3 linked regions of the Saccharomyces cerevisiae S288C genome follow. The gene in region 1 interacts genetically with each later gene. Each region holds a gene or a part of one and is shown on either strand. Other genes may lie near its edges. The genes, in order: NOP19, EBS1 and UGA3.

Region 1 (2,820 bases):
ATGAGGCTTATCCGCATTCTACTTGCATGTTAGCCGGGAAAAGACATAAATCATCTCAATTCTCTAGAATACTCTAGAGATTATGTAAAAGCGTAGCCCCGTAGATGATTAAATAATTTTCGGTTTCTTACCCCGTAACCACGAGTTGCGGTGTTTTTGCTTCTATCGGGGCAATAAGCGGGCGCTGCTTCTCGGGAATGTAAAAACTGTGCTTCCTACCATGAAGTAGTTGGATCTTGAAATGGGTTGGGCCGGAACAATATGCAAGTACTACAATCCTTGTATTCCCATATGATTATATTCCCCTTTGCATAGGCTAGTGTTTTTTTTTTCGTTCTTTTGTTTCTTCCGCTAGGAATAGTAGTGGCGATCTGCAGAAAGACGCTCTAAGGAAAAAGAGAGAATTTCGATCAGTCCCGTACACATTACTCTTGGGAAGTTCAATTCCTTCGGACGTAATCCACATACGAACTTGGCTCTCATCTGTTGTCTTCAAGCTGTTGCGGCCCTCCTCTTTCTCTCTGTTGTACACATTTTTTGACTTTCAAAAATATGCCGCTAAGGAAACATAACCCTTGTGTATGTGAGCTTGTAGCATATGATATAGTGCTCATTGGCATGTGACAAGAATTGCGTATGTAATTGAAGTTTGTAGTGTAATTTACGAAAATAGCCGCCCTTCTTCTTCATTAACGATTATTGAGCGTAATGATATAAGATACAACGGTTTATTTAGGGCTGCATCCATGAAAATACTTTGTAATAGTGAGTCGTCGCCTTGTTTGTTTATTCAATACAATGCAGTGTCTCTATAGTCTCCTCCTTTAGTTTCACTATCTTTTCTAACCGCCGAAGATATACGAGTGTTCTGAACGAAAAACGACCTTTTCAAACATAGAATATAATTGTATATATACATATACATATATGATACGCAGCCACATTCGTAGTATCTTTAAGACACTGCCTTTCAAAAAAGCTTTGGTATTTTGAAAGAAGATCGAAGCCAAGGAACCAGGACTACAATGAATTAGACGCTACAAAGTTTCTTAATTGGAAAACAAGGAGGGACAAGGAGGAGACTTTTACAGTAAACCAGAATGCTCCTTCACTGTTCAGTTATGTAATGTTATTGTTTGGAAGATCTGAAGAGAGGCATTTCCTACAACCTCTTGAATAAAATAGTGGAAGGCATTTACACAAAGAAGCCGTGCCACTTTGGTCCGGATTTTTTTTACCTAAAATCGTCTTAAATTGGCCTGTTCGATAGCTGTCATTTGTTTTAGATATTTATTTCCTAACGTCAGCTTTAGTTACAGTATGTATGTATCAACCTTTTAGTAAGACAATAATGATTGCATGTTTGATCCTGCTTTAAAGGCATTGGAAGTAACCGTAGTGGCCGCTGTTTCTTCTTGACGGCCTGTAATTGACCTGCGACGCGGGCAATTTCTAGCGATGAGATTGGAAAAACTAACGCATAAAAAAGATTTCAAGATTTATAAGATGTTGAAACAAATCCTCTTCTCACATCTACAGTTGATACAGTATACCGTATTATCTTTCCTCGGTAGTGTTCAGAATGAGTAGGGCCAAAGAATTACAAGAGAAGCTCAACTTGCAAGCGAAACTCCAGTCTACTTTCAGTAACAATACTGCTGCAGTTTTGGACTGGCTGAAAGAATCAGATGAAACCGGCATTAGCAATGATACAGAGCGTAACAAACAGTTAAAAGATCACAAGGAGTTGGAGGATGGTAAGAAGGCATTTTTCAAGCTTCCCGTTTTGCAGATTGGATCGGGCCTACACTTCCGCACACAAGATGACGCTTCCGCCAAAGAAGATATACATACGATTGGTGAGTTTATTGAGGGTGATAAAAAGGTAAGTTCGTTGGCAAAGAAAAAGAAAAGAAGTGACCCAGGGTTGCAACGAAATAATATGTACAGGATCACTAAAGATGATACGAAAGCCATGATTGCGCTTAAAAGAAAAATGAGGAAAGGCGAGAAGGAAGGACTAAGGAAGAAACAAGAGCATAGCAAAAGCAGCGTTTCGAACTCATATAGTGCCAGTGATGAAGAGGATGAAGATGCAGGGACAATGCCGCAAAAGTCCACAAAAAAAAAATTTGGTTTACTTTTTGATAAAAAAAAGAAGGCACGTAAATAATCTTAAACACTTATGGGCAGCAAAAAATGCGTCTTTCTTCCCTCGTCTGTTGTTTTATGTAGGGCGTAATGATGTTTGCTTGTCAACAAATGAATACGTACAGAAGAGAATTCTAGCCAAGGCAATTATTGCATACTGCAAGTACTGAGTACGTTAACGTTGCTAGAATAACATTAAATGAGATGTAGCAATGCAGATCCTTCCTCAGTAGGCTTAATGCTCCACTAGAATTTTTGACCAGCCACTATTTGCTTTTTTCGCAATCCTTTTCAATACTCGAGAGCAAAGACAAAAAAAATAAGACATGTAGTGCGCTGTATGGAAAAGAATTAATTAGAACTTTACAAACGCGTGTTAAACAGGCATATTTAAGTGTTTGGACCTAAACAATATATCGACTATTGAAATTCTTACGCAAGATTTTTTATAGTTGGATATTCATATATTCTTACAACTCTCTCTACTTTCAGTTTTTTGAAGCTATATGTATCATTATATACGTTTATGGATTTTTCAAACCTAAACAATTATACTGCGTAAATGTTTGATTAAGCAATAAATAAAAACAAAGGATTGGTAAGGGAAGACCGTGAGCCGCCCAAAAGTCTTCAGTTAACTCAGGTTCGTATTCTACATTAGATGGTCAC
Region 2 (3,762 bases), on another chromosome or scaffold:
TTTGTTAAGTTTACTTTTCGTCGTAGTGGCAGAATATGTTTCCAGTTTCTCTAACAAACAACCTGATTCGCACTCCCATAATCATGCACATCACCATTCCCATCTAACCGATTCATTGCCTCTCGAAAATGAAAGTATGTTCAAACAAATGGCATTGAATAAGGACACCAGGTCCATTTTTTCGTTTTTATTGTTGAATACCGCTTTCATGTTTGTACAACTTTTATATTCCTTTCGTTCCAAATCATTGGGCTTATTATCTGATTCGTTGCATATGGCCTTAGATTGCACATCTTTGCTCTTAGGTCTAATTGCTGGTGTATTGACCAAGAAACCAGCAAGTGATAAATTCCCTTTCGGTCTAAATTATCTTGGTACCTTGGCAGGTTTCACCAATGGTGTTCTGTTACTCGGCATAGTGTGCGGTATCTTTGTGGAGGCAATTGAGAGAATTTTCAACCCCATTCATCTTCATGCAACAAATGAGTTGTTGGTTGTTGCTACGTTAGGCTTATTAGTGAACCTTGTAGGTTTGTTTGCCTTCGACCATGGTGCACATGATCATGGTGGTACTGATAATGAAAACATGAAGGGGATTTTTTTACATATATTGGCAGATACATTAGGTTCTGTTGGCGTTGTTATTTCGACGTTATTAATCAAGTTAACACACTGGCCAATTTTTGATCCGATCGCCTCTTTATTAATTGGTTCCTTGATTTTACTTAGCGCTCTGCCCCTGCTAAAATCTACTTCCGCAAATATTTTACTAAGACTGGATGACAAGAAGCATAATCTAGTAAAGAGTGCGCTAAACCAGATTTCAACGACGCCAGGAATCACAGGTTATACAACTCCTAGATTTTGGCCGACAGAGTCAGGCAGTTCCGGGCATTCACATGCACACACGCATTCTCATGCAGAGAATCATAGCCATGAGCATCATCATGATCAGAAAAACGGTTCACAAGAACACCCGAGCTTGGTGGGCTATATTCATGTACAGTATGTAGACGGCGAGAATTCGACAATTATCAAGAAAAGAGTTGAAAAAATATTCGAAAATGTGTCGATTAAAGCGTGGGTACAAGTTGAGCCTCAAAATTCCACTTGTTGGTGCCGGGCTACTTCTATGAACACAATTTCAGCTAACCCGAATTCTTTACCGCTACAGCCTATAGCAAATTGACAATTCTTTGTCCTGCATACCTTTTATATTAATTTTTTAAACAAGATTTCATATACATAACGGTACCTATCGTAATTATTGGCGGCTGCTTGTGTTGATCACGTCTTACGGGAAATATCACAATGGAAGAAAAAAAATACTTCTAACGAAGGAAAAGATGTCATCCAGCATTGACCTCAAATTACCGAAGAGGTTGATAAAGCAATTAGCATCCAATCGGTATCATAATTCGGAAATTAAGGGGGAATCCTCTACATTTGGTGTTTCTTCTTTCCATATATTTTGAATGTTTTTTTCCTATGAAAAGTGTCTTCAGGAATCATATATGTAAAGAGATCATTCAATTAAATACATCATCGAACTAAGATTATAAACAAGAATTTAACAAAGTCACTTAATATATCAAAAAGAAGGCTTTTAGGAACTCAAAAATCCGCATCATTTGCAATTTAAAACGTACGTCATCAGGCGTATATATTCAAAGAAAATATCTCAGTTTCATTGCACTGGCTTACAGTTGATATTTCAATTAAATGGAACCATCGAATACCCAAAAAGAAGATCTTCCTACCGCTTTTAATGGTATAAAAAGTCAATTAAACAGCATATTAAAATCGAATCAATTATTTCAAGATTATGCGCTATTAAATGGGTTCTTGGCATTTGTTCATTCCAAATTGAATGCCGCAATCCTTACATCTATAGAATCACAATGTGGGAAATCCTTTGCGGCTGATCTTGATTCTTTTGATCAGAGCAGTATCTCTTCGATTTTAGATTTTTCTTGGGAAAGCGTTCACTATCCAATATTCAAATGGTTTCAGATGTGGAGGAATTATATTCTTTTTGAGAAGGAGAATAAAAAACAGCAGACCAAATTTATCGACTTTAGAAAGATGAATTCGAAGATGTTAAAATTCTTCAAAACGGTGCAAAACTTCTATGTCAACGTTATCAACACGGTTTATAAGAAATATGATATATCTGTACTTTTGCCGAAAAGGATTATCCAAGACTTAAAGTTAAGTGACATCGAAAATACCACTAATGTTGGAGACATTCTTGCGGTGAAGACATTTAATAGTAGTAGCCCACTCGCACATCTCATCCCAACGCTTTTCCATCGCTGTCTCTTATTCTTAGGAACAGCGTATCGTTATAAAACTCTCCTCGAAGAAATTTCCAATAAATACAGCATATCCAATTTTAAAAAATCTCTGGACTTCTTTCGTTTAGCTTCGTTGGTGTTACCAAGTGCTGGTGAGACGTATTCGCAAGCAGGAGCGATATTCCTTCAAACAGGAAATTTGGGGATTGCAGTATTCAATTTTGTTAAAGGTATGATGACGAAGATGCCAAGCCCTGTTTCAATCAAAAATTTTGGGGCATTAATGGTGGACAATAAAAGTTCATTAAATCGTAGCTTGCATACTACTATCATGAACACTTACTTACAAGAATCTAAAGGACCCAGGACACCTGCTAAAGAGATACTAGAATTTTATTTCCTGGGCCTTTTTGGGTCTGTTTGGTCACCTACCAGTTGGAGAGATGATACAAAACCTAACCAATTAAATAACGGTATCAAGTTAAGGCATTTGGAAAATGCACTCTACGAGACGATGTCAGCAAGATACCTGAATAATATTAAGACCATCTTTCACAATTTGATCATTACAATTGGTGGGTTCCATCTATTATTAAAAAGGCGTTCCGATGTAAGTGCAAAAACCTTGAAGGATTTACGTAGCAATGAATTGGATTACCTAAATTTTGCATTCAAGTATATTGCTCACATTTTAAATGATATCGTTAAGGAATCATGGAGCGAAAATCCTGAGGTTTCAGAAATTCTAGGTATGGTAAGAATTATCAATTGTTGGATAAAAGCAAATCCCATGGTTCTTCAATATTCACAAAGTAATCTAGAGTTTGTTAATGCCTTGGCATACTTGATAAATGATATTGTGAAAAAAAAACCAAGTCCTTCTTTTAGTATAACAGAACATATTCCTAAAAGGACATACTGGTTCGAAGAAGACTTAATGGTGAAGGGTTTATCATTCGTTAACTTTCAACTATCTGATTTTGACGATTATGAAAAAATTCTTGAAATGGATCATAGTCTCGATAGATTAATTGGTAATCCGCCATTATGCGACAAGTTATCGGCATCATCTGAAATGCTGTTAAGGTTGCAGGCTGTTGTGAATATAAGTTCGCAATTATTGCAGAACAACAACTGCGGAGTAGAATGGTCAGATAATAAATCACGTTATATCTTTAATAAGAAAATTGGATTTAAGGAGACCGTTAAAAATAGTATGAAGACATCGAAGCAATCCAATGAAAAGGCCAAGTTACAAAGAAAAAACAAACCTTCGACCACTAATGGCTCAATATCCATGGCGGATTTGGAGAGACAAATGAGAAGTAGCTCTTTGGATTCTTTTTCTCCAACTATGGGTTATAGTGGTTCGTCTGTACCTATGGCCCCAGATACGTTCAATGTTAAGCCCAGCGGTACAATAACGGGGAACAAAGTAAATGTAGAACTGTTAAAAATCGAACTA
Region 3 (3,762 bases), on another chromosome or scaffold:
ATGGTTAATTAAATAATTACTTCTATGTCTCAACGTTAGCATTTCTACATTGTATAGGTATAAATTGTTTTTGAATCCGTACGTCCTACAAAAAAAAAAAAGAACATATATATGTTTGTGTGGTGAAACAATAATTTAAGACACCCAGGGGGCGGGGAAAGAAAATATATGCTGCTCAGGCAAAATTAATATTGTAATCTAATTCGTCAATCATGTGGACCAGGTCATGCTCACTGATGCCATCAGCCTCGTTTTGCCAAATTTTCCGTATCAATAATCTAGCATTTTGGAAATTGTAACATTTATATCGTTTTAAAATGTCGTCAAATTTGGCTTCCAAATCTATTTTTTTCTCCATATCTTCTACCTGAATGCATACACCGTAAATGAAAAGTGGGAAGCATAACGATCCTTCCAAAAAAGTTCCGATGACCTTGTCTAGCTTCGAGTCCAATTTGTTTCTCAGTATCTGTAGTTCCAGCGAATCTTTGTCAATCTTTAATAAAGTTAATTGAAAGAACATTAAGGTAGAAATTTTCATTATCTCGAATAGTTCTAAATAGTAAAATTTCTTTTCATCATCCAAATGTTCCAGCGCCATAAGCGAAGGTTGTAATTTATAAATCTCGACTTGCAAACTCAAAATTTTATCGCCATGCTCTAGCATTTCTTCCTGTTCCATAGTCTGCAAAAACCTCGTCAAATTTGTGACTTGTCCCAATAGTAGTAAAATAGGCTTGTTGATGCCAATTAAAGGGTCTATTTCCTCAATTGGCGAGTCTATTGACTCAATAAAGTTGGCTGAGCTGGGTAAAGAGTTCTGATCCCTTTGGAAGAATTTCTCGTATTGTTCGATCGGGAAGGACGTTGTATTGAAATTCAAAATATCATGATATATAAAATTCACAATCAGCCAGTACTTAACAACGGAATTGAAATTGGGGAAGATTATCCTCTCCTCTAGGGAGGGTTCTTCTGTAGTAGTGGTTAGTATCCGTGAGACATCCTTGCCCACATGGTTTTCGATCAAATTTTTTCCTATATTCAATAATATCTTCCAAAATTTCACATCACCCTGACATATCTCTGAACCACATAAGATTAGGATTTGTGCTAGTGAATATAGAAACCCCAGTTTAGCACAGGCACTTGAGCCCTCGTTTGTCTTTAGATGCGATAACGACATGTATGTATACTTGTTCGCCAAGTTGACAAATATTTCATCCTTTCGCAGCTCATTTGATGATGATATAGACAAATGATTAGCTGACCAAGCAAGAATAGCAAACAATATACCATCATTCTCGTGGGCCATTGGCAAGAAAATGTTCAGATAGTAGTTCTGGTTCATGGGCGCGATGGAAATTATGTTTGCAAGGTGAGACCTGTAGTAGTTGTACAGCTGCAATCCCATAGAGTCCAGCTTCTGAGAAATGCAATCTTCCAGCGGTTTTGACAAATATACCTGGTTATCCTGTTCGTCGCTACCGACCCGTCGAGTACGGGTGGCCACGGCCGCTTTCTGAGCACTGTCAGGAGCATGCTTTCTTTTCTTGCTGATCAACTGGTGCTGTATATCTGCCTTTATTTTTTTCAAAGACTGCTTATCAACAGATTCTGATATATAGATACAGGGAAAACTTAATCGACGACAGTCCCGGCACACAGGTTTATCTTCAGAGCATCTCTTCTTTCTGATCTTGCAAGTAATACACCCATGCTTCGAATATTTCAATTTCAGCTTCTCCACGCCATAATTCATACCTCACTTTAAAAAACTTTGTTTTCTTGGCATCCATACATGAACAATAACAACAATTCTATATCATCTTAAGTAAGACTCTTATTGTAATTTCTTTTTCTTTGATGACTCAGACCCTGGTAGCCCTACCGTTCAACCCTATACAGCGCAAATTTGGTCCTAATACACTTCGGTTTTAATGCGTCAATCCGATTGGCTCCGATAAGCTTTTGCACATTTTTCAAGTCATATGTCACGACGAACGTGATGCCCGCAAAACGTAAAAAAAAGAAGCAATAAATTGCCCAAAAAAAAAATATAAACTGCTTTTCTTAGTCATTCATAAGTTCTGATGGTCTTCCTTATCTTATTGTATTTTTCGTCCTATTGTTTCATTTCTTACCAAATTAATCAATTCTTATATCTTACTTGATAACACACCAAACTAATCGTCTCCACATCATAGGAAGATAGGAAATTGCTATCTCAGTCCTATACTACGCAGACGGATACTCTCAGTTGCTCTTTCTTCCCCTTCTTTTAGCTCATTGAGGTAGTGATTAACGTTTAACTTATTTATTTATTTTTCTGCTTCAGTTTTTTTTTATTTATTTTTGTCTTTCTACTCTCTCTTTTTTCTTAATCTATTTGCCATTTATTTATTTTGAAGAACTAGAAAAAGAATTAGAAAAGAAAGCATGCCAGTGTTGAAATCAGACAATTTCGATCCATTGGAAGAAGCTTACGAAGGTGGGACAATTCAAAACTATAACGATGAACACCATCTTCATAAATCTTGGGCAAATGTGATTCCGGACAAACGAGGACTTTACGACCCTGATTATGAACATGACGCTTGTGGTGTCGGTTTCGTAGCAAATAAGCATGGTGAACAGTCTCACAAGATTGTTACTGACGCTAGATATCTTTTAGTGAATATGACACATCGTGGTGCCGTCTCATCTGATGGGAACGGTGACGGTGCCGGTATTCTGCTAGGTATTCCTCACGAATTTATGAAAAGAGAATTCAAGTTAGATCTTGATCTAGACATACCTGAGATGGGCAAATACGCCGTAGGTAACGTCTTCTTCAAGAAGAACGAAAAAAATAACAAGAAAAATTTAATTAAGTGTCAGAAGATTTTCGAGGATTTAGCTGCATCCTTCAACTTATCCGTATTAGGTTGGAGAAACGTCCCCGTAGATTCTACTATTTTAGGAGACGTTGCATTATCTCGTGAACCTACTATTCTACAGCCATTATTGGTTCCATTGTATGATGAAAAACAACCGGAGTTTAATGAAACTAAATTTAGAACTCAATTGTATCTTTTAAGGAAGGAGGCCTCTCTTCAAATAGGACTGGAAAACTGGTTCTATGTTTGTTCCCTAAACAATACCACCATTGTTTACAAGGGTCAATTGACGCCAGCTCAAGTGTATAACTACTATCCCGACTTGACTAATGCGCATTTCAAATCCCACATGGCGTTGGTCCATTCAAGATTTTCCACTAATACTTTCCCCTCTTGGGATAGAGCTCAACCTTTACGTTGGCTAGCTCATAATGGTGAAATTAACACCTTAAGAGGTAACAAGAATTGGATGCGCTCCAGAGAAGGTGTGATGAATTCAGCAACTTTCAAAGATGAGTTAGACAAACTATACCCAATTATCGAAGAAGGTGGTTCTGATTCAGCTGCATTGGATAACGTTTTAGAACTATTGACTATTAATGGCACATTATCTCTACCTGAAGCTGTTATGATGATGGTTCCTGAAGCGTATCATAAGGATATGGATTCTGACCTAAAAGCATGGTACGACTGGGCTGCATGTCTGATGGAACCTTGGGATGGTCCAGCTTTGTTAACTTTCACTGATGGACGTTACTGTGGTGCTATATTGGATAGAAATGGTTTAAGACCTTGTCGTTATTACATCACTAGTGATGACAGAGTTATCTGTGCTTCAGAGGTAGGTGTCATTCCTATCGAAAATTCATTGGTTGTTCAAAAA

Evidence for each region.
Region 2: mutations in NOP19 (region 1) and EBS1 together harm fitness less than expected from each alone (positive genetic interaction), as found in Saccharomyces cerevisiae (one large-scale study listed by BioGRID).
Region 3: mutations in NOP19 (region 1) and UGA3 together harm fitness more than expected from each alone (negative genetic interaction), as found in Saccharomyces cerevisiae (one large-scale study listed by BioGRID).

What each region holds. Positions count from the first base shown.
Region 1 is NC_001139.9:994,057-996,876, forward strand, and holds NOP19 (Nop19p), read left to right. Parts: upstream 1-1,582; coding exon 1,583-2,173; downstream 2,174-2,820. Other genes in the region: histone acetyltransferase GCN5, read left to right, coding at 2,813-2,820.
Region 2 is NC_001136.10:860,332-864,093, forward strand, and holds the start of EBS1 (Ebs1p), read left to right. Parts: upstream 1-1,722; coding exon 1,723-3,762. Other genes in the region: metal cation transporter MSC2, read left to right, coding at 1-1,189. UniProt on the Saccharomyces cerevisiae protein: Plays a role in nonsense-mediated mRNA decay (NMD). Recruits UPF1 to cytoplasmic mRNA decay bodies (P-bodies). Negative regulator of gene expression. Inhibits translation most likely through effects on eIF-4E (CDC33). Involved in telomere maintenance.
Region 3 is NC_001136.10:154,318-158,079, reverse strand, and holds UGA3 (Uga3p), read right to left. Parts: upstream 1,763-3,762; coding exon 176-1,762; downstream 1-175. Other genes in the region: UGX2 (Ugx2p), read left to right, coding at 1-16; GLT1 (glutamate synthase (NADH)), read left to right, coding at 2,440-3,762. UniProt on the Saccharomyces cerevisiae protein: GABA-dependent positive regulation of genes required for catabolism of GABA (UGA4, UGA1, and UGA2).